Linked DNA regions of Oryzias latipes. The protein of the gene in region 1 binds, or shares a complex with, the protein of each later gene. Links are inferred from orthologs where the notes say so. Each region holds a gene or a part of one and is shown on either strand. Other genes may lie near its edges. The genes, in order: hbs1l and pelo.

Region 1 (3,239 bases):
TGTTTACTGATTGTGTTCATTGGCTTAGACACTGAATGGTCACTTCTGTTTATCACAGTAATATTTGCTAGACTTTCCTGTTTTTTGGCGTTAACTTCCTCTTCTGTTGTTCTGTTTTTTCCCCTTTTCAGATGCATTCAAACCCCCTCAGAGATCTGTAGATAAACCTTTCAGACTGTCTGTCTCCGATGTGTTCAAAGGTAAAGTCAGAGCAAAAACGCTTTTTGCTAAATACTTGCTCTTAAATAAATAAATCCATTAATATATGTATATTTGTTGTTTTAGATCAGGGTTCAGGCTTTTGTGTCACCGGAAAGATCGAAGCTGGTTATATTCAAACGGGAGACAGAATACTGGCAATACCTCCCAATGAAACCTGCACAGTGAAAGGTGAACCGTTTCCTGCAAAGCTAAAGTTTCGACTGATTTGTTTTTTTTCCCTAAAGATATCTCTCACGGGTTTGTTGGCTGTTTTGAAGTAAACATGACCGATTGTGCAATGTTTTTTTGTTTTTTTTTGGTAACTCAACGATGCATCATCATGTCACAAAGGTGACATGATGTGTTGGTGAGTAACGCTGCCATCCTGTGGCTTCTCTGCAGGAATCACTCTACATGATGAAGCTCTGGACTGGGCGGTAGCTGGAGACCACATCAGCCTTACACTCACTGGAATGGACATCATCAAGATGAAGTAAAAAAAAATGGTTCAAAATGAATGAAGTAAAAAAAAAAAAGGCAAAATGGCAGAAATGATTGTGTTGTTGATGTAGAAATGTCAGGCTAGGAAATCTTCCCCTTGGAAGACTGAACCCTTTGCTTTGACTCCTCCCTGCAGTGTTGGCTGCGTTTTCTGTGACCCCAAGGAGCCCATTCGAGTCTGCACTCGATTCAAAGCCAGAATCCTCCTTTTCAATATCGAGGTTCCCATCACAAAAGGCTTTCCAGTAAGATTGTAAAAAATCAAAATGCAAAAAACTGCAAATTTAACTGAATGAAACAGTTTAGTGGAATAAACATCAAATGTACGTTTTTTTTTAACATAAAAGGTTAATGTTTTCTTACATTTAGCTGAAATTTTAATTTCTGAATGAAAAAAATTGTTTAAATTAATGTTGAAATGTGTTAACTTTTTTTTTTATTTGGGCTTTAGGTACTGTTGCACTACCAGACAGTCAGCGAGCAAGCCACCATTAGAAAACTAATAAGTGTCCTACATAAGACCAGCAGCGAAGTCCTCAATAAGAAACCAAAGTGAGTTGATGGGAATGAAACTTTTACAGCGTTTTGCAGTGTCACTTGAACGCATCGGGGTGTTCCGTTCTCCTGCTGTGCCGTTGTTGTTTGTCCTCCACTGAAACCTGGCTGCTGTGCTGCACGTCAATGCGTGGGAAGATGGAGATGTGCGTTAACCCGATGCAAACTGATGCAGCTTGTGCGTCAAATGTACATCACAAAGACCTGAGGGATTTTTTATATGAACAACTTTTATGATTTGAAAAGTAAAATAAATAGTTTAATGTTAAATGCTTAAAACATGTTGATTATTTGCACACAAGGGGTGTTAAAATGCTTTTTTCTAGTTTATTGATACTTTATTTTTTGCAGTTTCTTTCAAGAGATTTTTATTTACTTTTTATATGTCTTATTTTTAAGGTGTTTGACGAAGGGTATGAATGCCATTGTGGAGATCCAGACCCAGAGGCCGGTGCCGTTAGAGCTGTACAAGGACTACAAAGAACTGGGGCGCTTCATGCTGCGATATGTGGGCTCCACCATTGCTGCAGGAGTTGTTACAGAGGTGATTATAAAGGGTTATAATTCTGTAATTTTGGGTTGTCTTCTTTGATACATGTGCTTTTCTCTGCTGTAGATCAAGGAATGAAGAGTTTCCACCAGCACAGGGGTCAGCCGGGGTCAAAGAGTCTGACTTTTCCCTGGGTTCTGGCTGGAGCCAGAGCCTTGGAAACAACAGGAGCCGCTCGCAGACTATAGAGTGCCATTTTTATCCCTCTGTTCATCCATCCAGTGCAGATCTGCATCCGTTGTTGGCTTTAACCAACAAAAGCTGCACACACATACAACTGTAGAGTAGAATGCAAACAGAAAATTCAAAAAAAAAAGGAGGGAGAGGAGAAACAAATGAAATGCTTCTGCAAGGGAGATTTTTAGTAAAGCAGTAAAATGCACAATGAAAGGGCTAATCTTGTTTTCCTACATGATTAAGAGGTTTGAATATTTTTTATTTTGAATCAAGATGTGCCAAGAGAGTGACAGTAGTTGTTTTTGGTTTGAATTTTTGTTGTTGTTTACAAATCACATTTAATTTGGGAATCAAGAACAGTATAAAAAGGCTTAAGAGCATAATAATGCTGCACATCAATAAACAGCATCTGCAGACGTTTTGACCTTTTTAAAATGCAAAAGTACATGATTGTAATTCAGAAGAACAAAATTATTAACATGGTAAAAATACTTTATCTGGTTTCATTGTGAGATTGTTTGCCTTTCCACAAGGCACAGTCATCCAGACCACGAAGAAGAGATGAATGACGCCAAGTCTAACACTTTACCTGGGAAAATAAAGTGATTACATACTTGCAACACTTCATGGGGACTTGTTTTTCTTTTTTTTGTTTGTTCGTTTGTTTCATGTGGGTTTCACAATGATTTCTAGTTTAAAAAAACGTCACAAAGAGAAGGTTTTGTTTCTCCTACGACCCTTGAACTAAAGAAAGCTAATCAGTAATGCATTAGTATGGCAGGAAAGTCATCTTTTATTATTAAAAGAAGATTTATCATTTAATAGATTTACTAAGAAAACACCAGGAACCCATTAGCCGAGAGGGTAACCATGACTCAGCAATCAAGCTGCTTTCAAGCTTCCATTTAAAAGCCGCCCGTGGCTTCAGACAGCAGCTCTTCCCAACTTTAAAGCACAGAAAAAAAAGGTAAATCCCTTCAGGTGACCTGTAACGTCAAACTGAAATCTCAAATATAGCATGACAGTTGTGAGGTTGCAAAAGCATTTCATAATGCTGCAGGTTTGTTGGCTCAGTTTGCTGACGAAGTTTCTCTGTAAGCTGATCAGTAACTAACATTGCTTTGCTCTCACGGTTATGGTCTGACTCAGTCCATACCTTTTTTAAAGCTGCCCACAGAAATTGAATTTCAAGTTTATATATATATATATATATATATATATATATATATATATATATATATATATATATATGGAT
Region 2 (3,551 bases), on another chromosome or scaffold:
ATGTGATGGTTGTCTGCTCGATTATCTACATGCACTGGGGCACAATGGAAGATTTAAACTGGATTAAGTCCTTCCAGTGTCCTACTGGGGGATGACACGTGCAGCTGGTTCACCTTAACCCTTGTGCTATCCTATAGGGTCAAGAAGACCATTGACGTGTTCTCCCTACCATGACAAAGGTGGAGAAAGGTGAAGAGGATTTCATGTAATCCATGGAAACCAGTGAAGATCACAAATCATTGAAGAAAAAAGGTTCAGCGCACTGTTTTGTGGGGTCTAGATGACCCAACTCCCAATGTTAAAGTGCCTAGGATAGCACAAGGGTTACGGCTTTGCACTAAGGGAAGAAGTTCAAATAATGCACTTTAGTCTTCCCAGAAGTTTTTAATCTAGCCTTTTGCCACAGAAGAATTAAAGGAACCCAAAGTTTTGTCACTGCTGAGCTTCACTATTGCTGTATTTAATGAAAACTCCTGAACATACTTGATTTAGTTATATTTGCAGCAGCTTTTGACCAAATGGGTCATTAAACTGAGTTTTAACTGTACATAATAAATGCCATATATTTTTATATTTGTATGAAATACATGCATGATGTTCATGTGACAAAGTAAAACCGAAGTAACTGCATGCTTTAGTTATTTAATTGCAAGAACAAAGTCGTATATACACTTGGAAAACCTGTGATTTTACAGTTCTTACAAAGTTCCATTTCTTTTCATTTTGATTTGGCAACTATTAGATTCTTGCTACTAGCATATTTTGCTGCCAACTTCAGAATAAAAGAAAATCACCTCTGACTCAGAATGGACACATCTGAACTGTTGGGTTTGAAGAGGAACACAGCTGGTTTAATAATCAACCACACGCTCATTTGCTGCATGTCCTCTGCAGCCGTCATGGCCCGGCTTTGCCTCCCTCCCCGTGAGTTAGTTTAGTCTTCATCTGAGCTGCTGTCGTCCTCCGGCTCTGACAGGTCTGCCATGGGAAACCGCAAGATAGCAGCCACTCCCCCCAGCTGAGTCAGCTCTAAATGACAATAAAAACACAGCTCAGGATGCATTTCATGAAATAAAGACCGAATTACATTAAAAAATGTTGACAATGCAGCTCTTATTTTGGAAAATATCAACCTAGAAAACCTAAATAAAGCCTAAACTAAGCATGTGGTGTGTGCAGAAAAGTGATTTCAGTGGGGAAAATGATCTAAAACCCACCAGCAGGTCCACTGCAGCATGAACAAGATGAAGACAGTGGAGTGACTGACCGAAATTTCTGACATACATATCATTTGAATGCTGTAGTGTAACCTTAAAAAGGCGGGTAATGCTTAAAAGAACCTCGTATGTCTGAATTACATTGATTGTACCAAAATAAAAGGCACAGATTTCCTTCATGACACTTAACTCGGACAACAGATTCAATTCAATTCCATTTTATTTGTATAGCCCAAATTCACCACCACAGTCGTCTCAATGGGCTTTGTAATGGTAATTGAAAAAGTAAAACATAAAATCAAAAGGATCATGAGTACATAGAAGTCAATAAGAAAATACTAAATTGAACTTAACAGACTAAACTAAACTGGACATTCCTGCCCTTAGACGTCCCTTCGCGGATTCCAGTTGTCGTTTCTAATTGCTAAGTCGATAAAGGAAATCCCTTTTTTAAACAGAGGCCACGTGGGTTTGGATGTTTTCATTGTAATTTATACAAAATGTAATCATTTTCATTTCAAAATGACACGTTGAGTTTATTTGTTACACTTTTTAACTTAAATTTGTTTTATTTAAATCCTTCAATTGGGAAAACCATGTAAAACAAAGAATCATAAGGGGGTTCATCTGTCTTTTGCATAACTGAACCCATTTAAATTAATGAAAAATCTTTTAAAAGACTTTTTGAATTCTAAAACTAGTGTAGTTGTATACTTACGTTCTCCAGACACATGAAGGCTTGAGAATATCCTACACAGAAAGAAACCCAAAGAGAAAACACATTTATACTGATCCACTGAAAGATTTCATCAAGCAAATGTTTGATGGTAAAATTGTCTTTTTTAAAACAATTAGTAAAAAAAAAAGAGTAAATATTTTCTTTGGAAAACAAAAAAGAAACTTTGACTTCCAGACTGAAGTCCCCCTAAAAGCAAAAGTAACTGCAATCAGGTGTAGTTCATCAAGTAACCACAAAGGGGTTGTGTAGTCCTGATTCACTTTGAGGGAAAATGGGCCAAATATCTACACTGTGTCAGGTGGGGGATAGACTAATAACCAACAGAGGGAATTTTTACCCATTGATTAGCTGTGGGCAGACAGGAGGACAGACCTCTAAAAAGATTCTATTTAAATTTATTCACCTTTAAAAAAAAACACAACTTTATATTTAGATAAATCTATATTTTTATATGGAAATATTAGGTTGTGCTGGGGAGACGACGTTCTGTGGAGGTCAAACAGAAATTTAAAATAACAAAAAATCTGAGTCAGATATTTACAGGAACATGGTTATTACCTGGGATCAGGGTTAACTGAGGTAAAATAAACACAAAAACAGATTAAATCTGCCTTTTTATGATGAGGTAAACAGCAGACCTTATAAGGTTGAACACGATTGTGTGCTTCTAAGTTCTTTCAAATTTTATAGCAGCAGTTTATCCAAAGACAGCTTAAAATATTGAAGAAAGCTCTTTAAAATACGTTTAGCCACTTTCTAATATTATTTTTACTTTTTAAAATCCTTAAAATAGTTACACCAGTTGGTATGTGTCAACTTTAATCCTATGTTTGAAAATGTGTTATTTTTAGTTAAATGACATGGCTTTCTATGGACTGCAGAGCAAAAACCTGCAGAAAAACAGTTTTTACACAGAATCTTTTCCTGTTTAATAAATCTGAATGAATGCATTATTAACTCTTTCAAAAACGTCTTGCTTGGACTCAGTTTTTGGTGTTTTTAACATGTTCTTGTGTTTTTTTTGTTTTTGTTTTTTTACAGTGGAGGACATTTACCGGTAGTTAGAAATGTAAGCTTAAAATAGCATTTTTGAGAATTTCTTTATTGTTTTGAATCACGGACAGTCAAAATTTGCCCTCGGAAAAAGCTTGTTGGTGTGATGTAGAAACTACAACGATAAACCACAAGCTTTCCTTCTAATGAAGTACTGCCGCTCTGCAGAAACTATGTCCTAGTACACAATAGATTTTATGATTTTGGCTAAACACAGCATAATCATAATTAACCTTAAAGCATTATGCTCGGGGGATTTTCAACTGAGCAAAACTATTTACATGAATTTCAATAAGTTGAGGGTCACCAGGAAAATCTCACATGTCCCAGGAATGGATGGACCAAAGTCCAAGTGTCCTAGTATCATTTTATTATTGTTTAGGATTGTTTTGTTCTCAAATTCCTAATTTTTCAGTAATTTTTGAGCAGGTTTTTAGGAACTTCCTATGTTTTCCTTTTCCATTTTGTTACACATAGAACAGCTGAAAATAAAAGAAACCACTCTAAAAACAAAGTGGGGCTTGAACATAAAACCAATGTTG

The links.
Region 2: hbs1l (region 1) and pelo share a complex: the UniProt entries of both Homo sapiens proteins name them as parts of the pelota-HBS1L complex. The link is inferred for Oryzias latipes from reciprocal best matches to the Homo sapiens genes HBS1L and PELO.

The regions. Positions count from the first base shown.
Region 1 is NC_019882.2:14,274,286-14,277,524, reverse strand, and holds the end of hbs1l (HBS1-like protein), read left to right. Parts: intron 1-131; coding exon 132-200; intron 201-285; coding exon 286-390; intron 391-603; coding exon 604-694; intron 695-838; coding exon 839-947; intron 948-1,153; coding exon 1,154-1,254; intron 1,255-1,656; coding exon 1,657-1,801; intron 1,802-1,873; coding exon 1,874-1,885; 3' UTR 1,886-2,611; downstream 2,612-3,239. UniProt on the Homo sapiens protein: GTPase component of the Pelota-HBS1L complex, a complex that recognizes stalled ribosomes and triggers the No-Go Decay (NGD) pathway.
Region 2 is NC_019877.2:7,505,981-7,509,531, forward strand, and holds the end of pelo (protein pelota homolog), read right to left. Parts: intron 1,968-3,551; coding exon 1,936-1,967; intron 1,030-1,935; coding exon 935-1,029; 3' UTR 623-934; downstream 1-622. Other genes in the region: progestin and adipoQ receptor family member 4, read left to right, coding at 1-95. UniProt on the Homo sapiens protein: Component of the Pelota-HBS1L complex, a complex that recognizes stalled ribosomes and triggers the No-Go Decay (NGD) pathway.